2 linked regions of the Tamandua tetradactyla genome follow. The protein of the gene in region 1 purifies or fractionates together with the protein of each later gene. This does not show direct contact. Links are inferred from orthologs where the notes say so. Each region holds a gene or a part of one and is shown in the gene's direction. Other genes may lie near its edges.

Region 1 (8,248 bases):
GTCATTCTCCAGGTCAAAAACCTTTAATTTTCTTCATTGTTTATCAAATTAAAAACAAACACTCATGGCCCCCATTTACCTTCCACTATCTGATTCTCCCAGTTAGATGAGATCTGTCCCTCCATTGAAATCCCTTGGCATCTACTATGCTCTGAATTATGTCATTCTTTCTATGCTTGTCTTATGCTACTCAATATATTGAGAACTCCATTAGTCCAAGAACAGTGTCTTATTTACCTCTACTACACTTGCAGTACCTAGCTCAATGGTGGCGTTTAAAATCCACATAATTATGGAAGTGTTTTTGAGTGAGGTTTGAAGGAAGATGAGAAAGACATTGGAGGAGTTTCTGACTCCTGAAAGGATACTTTCGCCAAGAAATGACATCCGAGGGTTCTGGAGAGCAACTTTACATACTTTGTCATTTTGTCTAAGACTCTAGCTTTGGACAAGCATTTTGGCAAGGAATGGAAATCTGTGTTGTAAAAAAGGAGGGTTGGTCAAAAGCACCAGCAACCACTTGATAAAACAGTGTGTCAGGTACTCTCAGACAGGCCTGGGGTGCCTGGGGATCTTAGGATGTCTTCAGGTCCTGGAATGCTGCAGTGCAGAGAAGAGCACAGGGCCAGATAACTCTAGAACAGATAAATGAGTTGGTGATAAAAACTTCATGCCCATTCTATACAAAAGACTGTTATAGCTCTAATTCAGCCTTGTTTGAGCTTCCGTACAGAAGTGAAAGTAACTCTCGGTCAACTGTCCAATCAATCAAGAAATATTTATTAAGTGCTTTCAGTATTCTAAGTACTGGTAGGTGCTGAGAAAACAGGCATGAATAAGAAGGCAAAAAAAATGCCTGTCTTCATGGGTCTTACTTTCTAGTAAAAGGGGAGAAGTGATAAATAAAATAAACACATAAATTATAGAGCTTATTACAAGGTGATAAATTCTCTGGATAAAAATAAAGCAGAATAGAGGTGAAGTGTTAGCATTTCAAACAGAGTGATCAGGCTTGGTTAAGAAGGCAATCTTAAAGCAAAGGCCAGGAAGAGGTAGGGCACTGATCTGTGCAGCTAACTGGGGAAAAGCATTCTAAGCACAGGGAATAACAAACGCAAATGTCTTGAGGTAAGTACAAGTTTGGCATATTAGAAGAATAGCTAGAAGGCCAGAGGGGCTGGAGGGGCTGGAGGCAGAGTAAAGTTAAGAGAAGTCAGAGTGAAGTTATTAGAAGAATAGCCAGGAGGCCAGGGGAACTGGAGGGGCTGGAGGCAGACTTTGTAGGCCATTATACTTTTAGTGAATGAGGAACCTTAAGGAGATTCTTAGTCAAAGTTGTATCACTGACTACTGAGCTGAGATTGAACTGCAGAGGGGGCCAAAGGAAGAAGCAGGGAATCGGTTAGATGGCTATTGTAATGACCCAAGCAAGAGATGATGATTGTAAAGGTAGAGACTTGAGGATGTTCTGATGAATTAGATGTAAAGCATGAAGAAAAAAGAGTCAAGGATGAGCCCAAGTTTGTTCATTTGTTTGTTAGAGCAACCAGAAAAACAATGTGGTTTATTAAATGAGGTGGAGATGGGGTGGAGAACATTAAAGGTGGCACAGGTTGCAAGGAAGGCAGGGACAATCAGGAGTTCAGTTTTAGATCTGTAAAGTTTGTAGTACCTGTTACACATCCAAATGGAGTATGGAGGTTATGAGAGAAGTCTGGGCTGGGGACAGAAATTTAGATGTCATCAGACCATAGATAGTATTTGAAGCTATGAAATCAGCAAGGGATTGGCTATAGAGAAGAGACAAAGTCTAAGGATTCATCTTGAAGCACTCCAACTCGGAGGTCATAGAGAAGAGGAAGAACCAGCAAAGCAGACTTAGAAGGAACAACCACTAGGGAGAAGGCACACCAAGTGGGTATACTGTTCTGGAAGAAAGAGTAAGAAGTATTTCAAGGAAGAAAACGTAGTTAACCGGGTTGAATGCTGCTTATAGGTCACGTAAGATGAGAACTGAGAAACGATCTTTGGATTTAACAACATGGCAGTCATTGTGGACACTGACAATAGCAGTTTCAGTGGTGTGATGGGATGAAAGCATAATTGGAGAGGGTGTGAGAAGAGAGCAATGGAGAGATTCAGTATAGATTATCCTTTTCACTGTTAAGATCCTGCACTTGAAAAAAAAAGCCAGTAATTCATATTTTTCACTAATCCAAATGGCCATTATGTCCTTCCTGAATAAGGAAAATTTTACTCATGAAATCCCCCTTTCAAATGATATAAAGTTTTTGTGAAATGGGTTTCAGCAGTTTTATGTCTGGCACTCTCTTTGTTAACTGAAGAAAAACAATCCCTCCTTCAGTGAATTTGCAGCTCAAGTTATTTTAAGTTTTATAATCAAACTCCTATCTCAGAACTTCACACACACACACACACATCACAAGATGATGACATCATAGTTCTCAGGTTAAATATTGCAACTCACTATAAATTACATTCTCTCGTTCCAAATATTTCATTGAGTCACAGGTATTTTTTTTTCTTGTGCCATAGCCACTGCTTACTTTAAATTTTTAGATGATATTTCTCATTCAGTGAACATTTGACTGCCCTTTGTGCTTGTCGACACAGGTTCATGTTGCCAACAGTTGTGCACTGAATTTCAGAAAACATTAAGCTTTGAGGTTAAAAGTAGAGCAGGGAAAGCTGTCAGAAAAAAACATGCTACCCTAATGTATCTGAACAAGACAGGGGCAAGTTCATACTCAGATCCACAAGGTTGCTGTGCAGTACAACTGTTTTGATACTTGTGATGTCATTTTGCTTTAACATTAAAGCCAAGAGTCCTCCCACCCAAGGGCAATGACAATTTCCCAGAAGACTTGTTTCTCCGAGTCAAAGCTCCAAAGATGCCAATGCAACCCATGCTAATACTTAGTCTCATGTTATTTCTCAATTTTATGCTTAATTTGTTCCTTTTGGTTTTATGTATTTCAACACAGCCAAGACTATGTGGGGATTTCCCCACAGTCCTTTAAATGCCATAAAAGTTTAATATAGGGAGATAAAAACAATAATAAGCCATGCCTCCAAGCCCTCACATTTAGTTCTTTATTTGAGTTAGAGGCTAACCAGTTCTAGAGTGGTTTAGATTTTTAAGTACTTGTGCTGCTTTAAATGCTCTCATCCCCTTCCTTACTCTCCTCCCCCATCATATGTAAATTATATTCTTTCCTTAACCTGGGCATGGAACTTCTATTGATTGCACAATATGGCATCACTGCAATTCTTAAATTATCATCATAATGGCCTACATCATGCATAAACCAGTGCAGTTTAACATGACTCGGAATAAAGCCAAGATGGTTGCTGTAGTCCCAATTTCAGACAAGCAACACTGGAATGTCTTTTGGAAAATATGAAATAATGCTCCTGAAATTCTATTGGGTTAGTCTCTTTTCAGCATAATTGCCTTCTCTCAGCTTCCTAATACCCTTAAAACCTCTGAAAGTCTTTAATGTACAGAGTTCAACAAAAATACCTTCAGAACAGATTAGTTCTAATTATGGTTAGTATTTGTTTGCTGCTTTATTGAATCAACTACATTTGCTTTAAGAAAAAAAGAAATTCACTTAACTGCATGTCAGTCACCCAAATTTTAAGTGTACAAATGAAATGGAAAACATTTATTACACAAATTTAATTACAATTCTAAGAAATAAACATGCAAATTAGATAGAGTTCAATTTGCAGATGCTAATCCTCATCCTTGATCTTGTTCCTTTCCTCCCTGATTCTCAGTCTGTGCATCTCCTTGATTCCTAGGGTGCCAGGGGCAGCAAGAGGTTCGGTTTTTCACAGTCGGAGGATCACTGTTTTAAAGAAGTGTTATATTTAGCACATCTGGCATGGTAGCAGTAAACAAACATTGTAGTCTTTGTAACACTTTTGTGCAGGTGCCTTCCCCCGATTTTATTAGGTTTATGCCTTCCAAGCCTCTGTGTTCATTACACCTGAAATGACCAATCTTGACTAGGGAGGGGGGATTCCTAGACAGAAATTATGAATTAATGTTTAAAAAAAACCAACCAAACAAATTGAACCCAATATAGGGAAAAACAACTATTTGCAAAATCATGTGATTCTGGGGCTTAAATTAACATTTCTGTTGACAAAGCCAGCTTCCTCTATTACTTTTTATTTCCTGGAGGTTTTCCCTAGAGCTTCTCCCCCGCCCCCCTCCCGCCCCGAGAGAGTTACCAATTCAAGTTGCAGCAGGACCAAGGTTGCTTTTTTGTACATATGTAGCTCAGGAGAGGAACGGGCGGGGGCGGGCGCGGAGGGGAGAGTAACTGCTTGGTCCTGCAAAGACATCTGTTTCTCATCTCCGCTTGCTGTGGCAAAGGAGAAGAAAGTCTATTGCAAAGGGTGGGAAAGGCACAGATTCTTTTTTTAATATCACACACGCGCGCGCGCACGCACGCACACACACACATACATGCCCTTCACAACAACAATAAAACTAAACCAATTTTTAGAAAATAATAAGAAAAGACATCTCAGAAGGTTGCAGAGTGAACACGTTTCTGGGCTGGAGCCGAGCCCCCAAGGCTAGGGCGGGAGCCCGGGTGTGCGTGGGGTCTGGGCTGCAGGCTGGAGCTGGGCCCGCGTGTCCCCGGGCACCGCGAGGGGAGGGGAGGGGAGGGGAGGGAGGAGGGAGGGCGGGAAGGAGGCAGGGGGCGGGCTGGGGTGGGGGTGAGGGGAAGGCGCCCCGTGTGCTGCCTGAGGAGCGGCGGCGGCGGCAGAGGGAGGGAGCGAGCGGGAGCGGGCGCGCTTGTCATGTTCCCTCTCTCACCCTGGGGGCATCCTGCAGAACCTCTCCTCGGAAATCCACGGGGAAATGGCAAACAGGATTGACGGGTTTCACACGCTCCTCGCTAGACAGAGCCGCTCATTACCATAACCGTCTGCAGCGACGGCGGCGCAGCGCCCCAGACGCGGCGGCGGGACCTACCGGGACCCTCGCCCACCGCGCACCAGCGGCCACCGCCGATCGGGCCGCCGGGCCGGGACCCGCGCGAGTGTACTGGCGGCCCGGCTGGCGCCGACCCCAGAGCGGATAAGCAGCAGCTCCGGCGCTGCGGCCGCCGCCTCCCCGCTGACCCCGCGGTAAGAGCCGGGCTGGGAGCCGGCCGCCAGGGCGGAAGGGCCAGGGAGGGTGGAAGGCGGAGGCTGGTTCTCCAGAGCGTCTGCTGGCGCGGGCTGGCACTCACGCGGCTCCCCGCGCTCCCTTCCAGCCGCTGTGTCGCACCGGGGTCACCTAGTGGACCGGCACCCGGCAGGGTCGGGGGCGGTGTGAGGCCGGGGAGGAGGCGGCGCGGGCTTTTCCAGGGCTGGGCGTGCGCCGCGGCGCCTCTACCCAGGCGGGAACCGCCGCCGCCTCTAGAGCCGCTCGGGCTGCCGCCCGTGTGGACGTAGTCGACTCAAGGGGCGGGTGGAGACAGCGGCTCTGCTGGGACCTCAGACCGCCGCCTCTGCCCTCACCCTAGGGGACGTGGTCAGTACTAGGGACGACTGGTCTGGAAGCCGCGACGCTTGGCAGGTGGGGAGGGAGAGAAATTGTAGATGTCAGGAGCGCGCGTTTGCAAGAAAAAGGAATAGCTGCTGGAGCTGACACCTTCTGTCCCCCGCCACCTCCGCCCCCGCACCCTCCTCCCAGGCAGCCGAGCCGCGCTGCGGGCGGCGGCGGCTCCTCTGTCCTCAGCTCACCTCCCTGGCGGGCTAAGGCTGCAGCCCTCCTGGTCCACGCCTCCGCCTCTCTCCCCCCTTCCTCCCCTCCCGCCTCCTCGGCCTTAGCAACTTTCCCCGGTGCCCACTGGTGCCGCAGAGACTGGAGGACAGGCGGCCCCGGGGCTCGGGGTGGCGCGGACCGAGTGGTCCCGGGCGGGGGCGGTAGGCCGTGTTGTCACGGCTCCTGTCCTCGGGTGCGAAGGGAACTCCCGCAGCCGCGGGCTCTGAGTAGGTCTGACCCGCGAGGGAGGGAGGACCCGGCAGGCATCTGCTGCGGTCTGGAGCGCGGGGCCCGGGCCAGCCTCGCCAGAGCCCTGCCAACCGCCGTGAGTCATTTCCTTGGAATCCTACCTTTGGTGTTTATTTCCCTTAGAAGGAAACTTGGTTTAAAAAAAAAAAAAAAACACAGAGAAAGAAAGAAAGAATAATAATAGCTCTTATTCTTTCGTAGCAGAGGCACGCAGCTCCGGCACCGGCACCGCAGAAAGACAACTTGCCCTTTGTTCCCAGCCACTTGGGGTGTTGTTTACTTTCTCTTGCGGCCGGGCGGTCACTGTTGGCTGTCCCGGAGAGGGGCTCACGGGCAGCGGCATCGACCCCCGAAGGTGGCTGTGCGGAGGCCGGGACGCGGTGGCTGCAGCCGAGCGGGCAGCGGGTCGTTCCTCCAAACCTCGGCCCCTCCTCTCTGGTCGGGGTTGGGGAAAGCCGGCTCGGGCTCAGACATCCAGACACCCGCCTGCGTCTCCCAAGCCCTGCGCCCACTTTCCCAGCCCTAGGATCAAATCTAAAGCTCTTGGACTCTCGGGCCTTCTGCTGAGAAATGTGCTTCCCAGGGCAGACAGGTGCACTGCAGGGACTGGCAGAAAAACGACATGTCTGTGTAGAAGCGTTGAAGGATTTTGTTCTGCCGGTCCAGACCTCTCCACCACCACTGCCTCGGCCAAGAGATTTTGTCAGGGAGAGAGGTGAGGTCAGGCGCTTGATTCCACCTGGGAAGGACATTGAAGAGTGGCCATGTCAGAGGTGAATTGAAAATAGCAGCCCTTTACTTCCCTGCTTTTAAGTGTTGGAATCAGACTTCTGACTGCTGTAGTTGCTCTTGATAAAAGGGCCCCTAATTTCCAATCATAGATGGGGAGGGGAGGGGCAGAGAATGACAGGAGCCCCCTTGTTATATTCGAGGTGCCGCTGAATCTGTGCCTATCCTGTGTGCCAGCCACTCCTATTAGCATCATAATAGCTCCGAGGAAAGAACAAGCCCAACTCATCTGGAAAAACCAAATTGTGTAGAAATGCCTGGTAACTTTACTAGGAACATCTGTTGGAAAAGCTTGACATTTTAGCCCTCAGCTTTCTGGAGATGCTTGATGTGCCATTCCACCATAGCCACTTGGCTGACGAAACAGACATGTAGAAGCCTGAGGATAAAGGTTTAGGACTTTTCTTACTTTTTAAAATTCACGTATAGACAAGTCACACTCTAACACACACCCCCTTTTGAATCCACTCACCTCTGATGTTAAAAACACACACATTTCATGATAAAGGTAAATCTTTGTGGCTGTATTTAATGTTAACAGCACATGAATTTGTTTACATGAACTTCTGAATCCAATAGCAGAATTATAGTGTAAATCTCATAGAGAGGAAAATGATAGTTTGAATCTGTACATATTCTATAAATAGTCATGTGAAATATTGGCGCCTGGCGCTGCACTTCCACTTTTTCATGAACGTTAAACTTGCCTCCTTAATTTGTTAACATCCCAGTGTGCAGCCTAAATAAGACCCAATTGCAAAATCTCCTCCCTGCTCCCAAATAATCCCAACTCATTCATGTTTTATTCGGACTTACAAAAATCACTTACTGAACTCAGCCTCTCTGACTGAAAATTTTGTGTGTAAAAGTTTCCATTTCACAAAAGAAAAACTTCATGAACTAGGAATATCGTAACGAAAAAAATAGCCAAAATAAAAAATGACTATGCCAAAGATCAAATTCAGATGCATACTGAAATCAATACTAATAAAAACTTTGAAATTCTTAACAATCAAAACAACTTCAACAATAAGTCAGTAAAATATAAACAAACTCCAATATAAAAGAGCACAGCATCCACATAATGTCCTATTATGCAAAGGTAATTGCTGCTAGGTGACTGCGAATGCTTTCCCTTCTTAAGAGACATGGGCTTGTCTACCTGTTTTTTATTATATGTAATAAAAATTCTACATAGGCAGAACTTGAATCTTATTCCCAGAGTCCAGCATAAAACTGAGTGTAAATTGCAAACTGGAAAATTTTTGTTGCAGTTGGTAATAGAGGACTAATTCATCTGATAAAAAAAACCTTGATTCACTTGCTTCTGGCAATAGCATTTCCCAGTATGATTGTCCTTCAGAGTAGGTTTAAGAAATGAACCATTTCATGAGAGTCTTCCAGTGAATAAATTAT
Region 2 (7,351 bases), on another chromosome or scaffold:
GACAGCTTCTGAAAACCTTGGAATTTAGGCTTTAGCATGTAGGTGTTGTGAGTCTTAACTCATTTTAAGCAGGTTAGAGAATATGGCCCAGTTGGCTTTCAGTCCGCGTGGCAGAGGGTGAAGCCCTGGATTCTAGCAGGGCAGCTGGCACAAGGAATGGAGGGTTGGAGAGCTCTGTCTGTGGAGGCCTGGGGCCTTGGTGGTTGACGCCGAGGGAGGAGTTGAGGGGGAGCCTATGCCTTGAGAAATGGGAATGGAGATGAGAGCTAGTGCAGGCAGGGCTGGGTGTGGCAAATGGCTAGACTCGCAGGAAATAACAACAAACTCTTTAACGAGCCTGTGCAGAGGCGGGGACTCTCTTACATTTCATCTTTGGAGGCTGTTTAATGGCAGGTACTCAAGTGTGATGGTCAGGTTCATGTGTCAACTTGGCCAGGTGGTGGTACCTGTTTGTCTGGTTGGGCCAGTGCTGGCCTGTCTGTTGTGATGAGGACATTTCATAGAATTAAATCATGATCATGTCAGCTGCATCCACAGCTGATTCCATTTATATTCAGCCAAGGGGAGTGTCTTCTGCAATGGTGATGCTCAGTCTAATCACTGGAAGCCTTTTAAGGAGGATTCAGAAGAGACAGGCTCTTTTCCTGCTTCGGCTGGCGAGCCTCTCCTATGGAGTTTGTCCAGACCCTCGATCGGAATCGTCAGCTTCACAGCCTGCCCTGTGGATTTTAGACTCTGCGTTCCCATGGTTACATGAGACACTTTTATAAATTTTATATTTGCAAGTGCTTCCTGTTGATTCTGTTCTCTAGAGAACCCTAACTAATACATAAAGCTGAACATACATAGGCTGTATGTACACCCAGTCTTCCAGCAATGTGACAATTCCCTGACAGGAGCGTGTGCATGATGTGCTGAGACATGGCAGCATTATTCATAATAGTCTCTAAATTGAAACTTTTAATGTCCAATAGTAGAACAGAGAAATTGTGAATTTCCATGATGGAATATTATACAACAGTGAAAAATGAACAAATTGCAGCTATATATGTAGAACAACATGAGTGAATCTCAGAAGCGTCATGTTGCGCAGAAGAAACTAGATACAAAGCCAGCCAAACCTTATGATTCTATTTGTAGAAAGTTCTCAGACAAGCAAAACTCCAGTGTGAGAAGCCAAGGTGGTGGTTGCCTCTGGGGAGGGACCCACGGTGGCAAGAGGGGATAGTGAAGGAGGCCCCAGGGGGCGGGCCACGTCCTCATTCCTGACTTGGGGGCAGTTACATGAATGTTTGCCCCACGATAGTTGGCTGAGTTGACTCTACGTTTTGTGCACTTCTCTGCACACGTACTGTAACTCCAGGTAAAACAAGTCAGGGGGGAAAAGAGAAGAACACCGAGACCCGTTTCAGGGACCATTGAAAGACGTGCAACTTCCAAAGCAGCCAAGGAGGCAGAGGAGTTAGAGCAGCAGGTGGTGTCACCGAGGTCAGGGAAGGTGGTGGGGGTGGCCAGCAGGGTGGCTGCAGTGGGAGGTCAGCTAAGGGAGGGGGCAAGGACCAGGCAGGCCATCGGATGTTCACTTGGAATTGTCTGCATTGCTCTACCATGAGGTCAACCCCACGAGAGCTGGAGATTTTATCTGTTCTTTTCCCTGCTCTAAGCCTCCTGCCTGCACATAGTGGGCACTCAACAAACATTTGTCATGAATGAATAAATGGGAGCAGCTGGTGAGGAGGGAGGGGGCTGTAGGGGCAGGGTGAGGAGCGGTGGGGCAGGGGAAGGGGTGTGCAGACACAGATGGGGCAGCTGGTGCAAGTGGTGGTATCGGGGTGGTGGTGGCAGCATCCTGGAGAGGTGGAAGGAGCCCCAGAGGCCTGGGCCCTGATGGATGAGGGCAAGGGGCCCCGGGAGACGGAGGACGAGCCCCCGAGGGCGGCAGACGAGACCACCTTGCAGGGGGGCAGGGGCTGATGTGGGGTCTGGTGGACCCTGGGAGGTTAGAAACTCCCAACTTGGGGTGCCCAGAGTGGCTGAGATGCTGACGACCAGGGCAGGGCTGTTATATTGTGGTCTGGGGCTTTCAGCAGACCTGACAGACCAGAAGGATGGCATGGGGGTGGGGGTCTCCCCAAAATCAGTGAGGAAGGGATGGGAGCTGCACGAGGGGGAAGCACAGAAGCCCTGGGAGGCGCATCCAGTGGCTGCGTCCATTTCACAGATAAGGCTGGCCATGCCTTGGCCCCCTCCATCTGTCTTCCAGTGTCCATGGCTTTGGGTGTTTTGTTGTGCTAGGGGTGTAGGCGGAGAGTGGGGTGTTGGTTTAGGGAGCGAGGTGTCGGGTATTTGAGGAGCCCAGGCCTTACGGAGAGAGGAGAACAGATCTTATGCCCTCTGGGCACTCCCAGGCTGGTGGGAGAAAGAAGCCAGTGTGAAAGTCACCTTTGTGTCAGGTAGGAGGTGACCTGAGGGCTGGCTGCGTCAGTGCCAGGCCAGGTGCTGTCCCAGGCAGAAGCCTTACCCGGTCCTTGCATGGACTTTGCACACCTGTGCTGGGACAGGTTGGAGGACTTGCCCAGGTCACTCAGCCAGGAGGTGCTCCCTCCAGGACCTCACCCCTGGTCTAGTCCATTTACTCCCTATGTGGAGGGGGGGAGGGGGGTCTCCACCACCCACAGGTCCATTCTGAGCATTTGTTTTGGATGAAAGCCCAGCTCTAGCTGAGGCACTGCCCTCCGCCACAGCTGGCACCCACCCTGGCCAGTCTTTCCCGTAACCCCCATCCTCTAACCAGCCCTTTCTGAACTTCCTGCCCTCACTGCGGCTGATTTGGGGAGCTGCTTGGAGTCCCCACAAAACCAGATGAAAGGAGCGGAGGGCTTAACCAGTGGGGAAATTGGGTGGGAGCGACTGCACCTCCTGCCGGCTTGAACCCCCACCCCCACCCCCATCTCGGGGAAGCACCAGACACCCTGGCTACCCACTGCATTTCTTCCCTCGCCTCCCAGTCCCTTTCCAAAGACAGACTACTGGGTCCCAAGGGTTGATTTAGAAGCCCCCTGGCCCTGCGATCAGAGCAGAGCACTCAGGGTCACAGGGCCGGGACTTTGCTCCCGGGAACTGGGGGTTCCGCCAGAGAGGGAATAAATACTTGAAGGCCTACTATGTGCTAGGCACCGTGTAAGATGTTGGGGGACACATGATTAAAGGGAGGCAGGCCGGCAGCTCCTGCACGGCGCTACGGCGTGGGGGCGGGGACAGCATTTTGCATGCTTTTGGCATGCACGCGGCACTGTGCCTGCCACTTCTGCTCACCAGGAAGGAAAGGGGTGCGTTAGGTGCAGAAGCGTGATCACGGAGCCAGCATCTCACCCAGCTTGTCCCGGACTGTGCTGACACCCTCCAGCCCCCCTGCCCCCACGCCCCAGCTTCTTCACGGGGCCCATTTTGCGCTCCTGGAGCGGGGGAGGGGGCTAGAAGGGACCTGACCCACGCCCCCTCTTCTACCTGCCGGCCACTTGGGCTGTGGGCCGGCCTCGGGACCGCTGCCCTCCCACCCCCTCCGCAGTGACCCATTCTCCAGGTACGCCGCCCCAGCTCTTCAGCGGCCCCCCACAACCCAATCCACCCAAACGTCGGCCGCCTCTTCTATTCCCGGAGCACCGGGGCACCAAGACGCACCCTCAAAGCTGAGCTGACCCGCTCCCCGTCCCTCAAACCGACCGCTTCCTTCCAACCTCCCCTGCGGCGCACTCGGGCTCCCGAGGTGCCCACCCGCGCGGGGCCGGAGCCCCGAGCCGCCGCCTGGGCCTGGCGCAGGTTCCACCTGCGGGGTCGCTCGTGGGCCGGCGGCGCGGGGCGCGGGGGCGGAGGAGCGGGCGGCGCGAGGGAGGGGCCTGCGACAGCGGCGGCGGCCGCCCCAGCCCGCGCAGCCCGGCTCGGCCCCGGCTCGCTCGGCGCAGCGCCGCGCGCGTCCCCTCGCCGCCGCCGCCGCCGCCGCCGCCTGGCGCCCCGCAGCCCGGCCTCCGGGCGCACGACGCAGCGCGCACGGGCCGGCCGGGATGCGCGCCCGGCCCCCGGCCCGCCCGACCCCGCGGCCGCCGCCCGCCCGCCGCGCGCTCGCCTGACCGCGGCGCCCCCGCCCCCCGCCCGGCCGCCCCCCACGCCCGCGATGCCCGCCCCCCGGGGCCCCGGCGGCCCGCGCCCCTGCTAGGCTGCGGCGGCATGGCCCGCGCGCCCGGCGCGACCTCTGCGGATTGCATCGGTGTGCGGCGGCGGGGCATGCCCAGGGCACCGGGCACGGCCTTCAATGGGCGAGGACACGGACACGCGGAAAATTAACCACAGCTTCCTGCGGGACCACAGCTATGTGACTGAAGGTAACGTACGTGTTGTCTGAGACCCCCTCCGGCCGGCCGCGGCGTGGGGATGCCGTCGCACCGAATGCCCTCCGAAGGTTTGGACCGCGCGATGTGTGTCGTGTCACCCCACCCCACCCCACCCCACCCCACCCCGCCCCACGCGCCCCGGGCCCAGGAGGGAGGGAGCCGGGGGTCAGCAGCCAGGGCCCAGGCGGGGTCGCCTTCCCTGCCAGGCGGAGAGGCGATGCCCTCCTCCGCGCCGCCCTCCGGGAGTCACCGCGGGAGGCAGCTTTTCGCTCCGTGGCCAGGTGGCATCCTGAACCGCCCCGGCCATCGTTTCTGAAAAGGCCATCCCTTCGGCTAATCTGGTGAAGGAATCCGGGGGGGGGGGGGGGGAAATGTAATGGGTTAAAACCCTGAATTTGACATTTCAGCCCTGCCCAAAACCCGCAGAATTTTCTAGGCTGCCCACTCCCTGGAGACGAAGAGGGACCCAGAAGAAAAAATCCAATTGCCGGGTCCTTGGCTGTCCCTCCTCCTCCCCTCCCTGGGCCTCTGGAGGCAGGGGTCCCTTAGCGGGAGGGGGAAGGAGGCCGCTGGAGTTTGGTCTTTTATTCTTGGTGATTTATATACTGAGGCAGGAGGAGCTGGCCGGAAACGGTCAGGATTTCCCTGAAAAGTGGGACATGCCTCCCCAAACGGGCCCTGCATTTGAAATCTCCCAAGTCGGCCATAAGAATCCAGAGGGTCACCGTCCCTTTTTTGTAGGTCAGTAACTTCCAAGGGGCCTTGCCTAGGGGACAGCGGCGACACCTCCGGTGCACGGCCAGAGGGCTGCGGAGTGAGCCCCGGGTGGGGGGTGGGGAGGCTGCGGGCGCCGGGTTCATTATTCCCGAGGCCTTCCGTGTCCACGGGCGGTGGGCATCTTCCCAGGAGCTGCAGAAGTGTTGGTGGGCTTTGGGCAAGGGGTGCCCCTGGTGGGTGCCCATGTGGGAAGGGCTCTGGGGAGGGGCTCACTGAGGGGCCCTGAGCACTGCAGCCCACAGCGTTGGTGTGCGTGGGTGCTTGTCTCAGGGAGCTCGCGGGGCTCAGCGGCAGTTTGCGTCTGCCAGCCCGATGCCTGGATGCCTGGATCTGCCGGAAATGAGGCCGAGTCCCGGGGCTGGAGCCCTGTGGGGCCGGGAGAGCGCGGGGCCCCGGCAGGTGGGCTCCCCCCTGTTCCTGATCTGGTGGCAGGGGAGCATTGGATGGGGGTGGAGTGTGCCCCCAGTTCCCTGAGGAGAACCGCTGAGTCATGCTTTGCTGATGGGCGTGTGCGTGTGTGTGTGTGTGTGTGTGTGTGTGTGTGTGTGTGTGTGGTGGGGGAGGGGGCAGGGCTGCAGGGCTGGGTGAGAGAGCTGCTCCCAACCGGGGGCCCTCACAGCTGCCCAGGAGGCTGAACGCCACCCTATGTCTGCTGCCTGGGTGAGGCTGAGCAAGGATGGGCCTGTGTCAGGGTTGTTCTTTCTCTGCTCCTAGCCTGGTGGGCAGCAGAGGGTTAAAGAGGCCTCTGGGTCGCTGGCAGGGGGCCCAGCGGCCTGGCTTTGGTGGAGAGGGGAACTTGCCAGGTCCGCTCAGCTGTTCCCCAGCATGGCCTGGCCCCGCCTCCCCGGGGACACCTCCGTTTTATCATCTGTGCATTGGGGGTGACAGCACAGGGCCAGGTGTATGATTAAAAGTAAAAAGCAGCATGCCTGACCCTTAGTAGACATTACAAAGGTTGATTTTTTCCCTTACTCCATTCCCCATTTTATTTCAGAATTTCACGAGTGCTCGGCAGAAGAGAGCAAGGACAAGTGTGTAGCTATAGGAGAAAGAAGAAATGGCTTTTAATCCCTTTTCAGTGGTGGCAAGCCACTGTTCTAGCCCTGAGAGCAGGCAGTCTATATTCTAGCAGGGAGCCCTGGGCCCTTGCGGGTGTCTCTTCTCACTGGTACTCAGTTTCTTGCCTGTGAAATGGGAGCGAATGATAGCTTCCCAGGTGAGAGGGTGCGTGAGGGAGCCGCCTCGGAACTGCAGATTGCTGATGAGTGGCTAACTCCTGCTGGGGCCTCACCCAAGCATTCCTGTACCCTTGTCCCCACATTTTTAGATGGAAAACCTCAGTGTCTCAGTGTGCCAGGGCTGCTCCTTTAAATCCCACACTCTCGAGTAGCTTCAATGGCAGAAACTGACTGGCTCTGTTTTGGAGGCTAGAAGTCCAAAATCGAGGTCTTGCCAGGCCATACTTCCTCCTGGCGTCTGTAGCTTTCTCATGCTGGCTCGCCACCATTCTTGGGGTTCCTTGGCTTGTGTATGCATTTCTGCTTCCATCCTGCGGTGACCTCTCTCCATCTTTGGCTTCTGTTTCCATATCCAGTTTCCCCTGCTTACAAGGACGTCTGCCACATTGGAGGAAGGCCCACCCCTGTTCAGTCTGGGCTCACCTTAGCATCTTCACCAGTCCTACCCACAAATGGGTTCACACTCCAGGAACAGGGGTTGGGACTTGAACATGCCTTTGTGGGGGACGCAGTTGCACCCAGACTGAGCACCAGTGTGCATAAGGTATAGAGTCAAGGGGACAGGGGCAGAACTCCTGCCTTCAGGGAGGGCAGGGTCTAGTAGAGGAAGCAATTAATAATACTTATTAGAATTTTAGGAAAACTCTGGCTTCCTTAAGTGAAAACAGACTTTAACACTCTTGCATCCCTGACTGCATTTTATGCCCAGAGCACAGAGTAGATTACAGAGCTGGACTTCAGACAGAACTTGAGTTGATATCCTGCTTCTGACTCTTCACCTGCTATGCAACCTTGGAAAAGTTTCTTCCTTTTGCAAAGGGAAAAGTAATAGTGATCTCTCTTAATGGGTTGTTGGGATGACCAGGGACTATGCTAATGTAGAAAGCACCCAGCAGAGCCACAGTGCCTGTGGGAGGAATTGGATACACTTTATCATTTAAGTCTTGT

The links.
Region 2: the proteins of SERTAD4 (region 1) and PPP2R2C purify together in Homo sapiens (affinity purification with mass spectrometry; 3 studies listed by BioGRID and IntAct, counting the BioPlex papers as one, with this or other methods). This does not show direct contact. The link is inferred for Tamandua tetradactyla from reciprocal best matches to the Homo sapiens genes SERTAD4 and PPP2R2C.

Annotation. Positions count from the first base shown.
Region 1 is NC_135330.1:68,422,582-68,430,829, forward strand, and holds the start of SERTAD4 (SERTA domain-containing protein 4), read left to right. Parts: upstream 1-5,119; 5' UTR 5,120-5,172; intron 5,173-8,248.
Region 2 is NC_135345.1:6,446,564-6,453,914, forward strand, and holds the start of PPP2R2C (protein phosphatase 2, regulatory subunit B, gamma), read left to right. Parts: upstream 1-4,264; 5' UTR 4,265-4,309; coding exon 4,310-4,379; exon of another isoform or gene 4,380-4,428; coding exon of another isoform or gene 4,429-4,456; intron 4,457-7,351. UniProt on the Homo sapiens protein: The B regulatory subunit might modulate substrate selectivity and catalytic activity, and might also direct the localization of the catalytic enzyme to a particular subcellular compartment.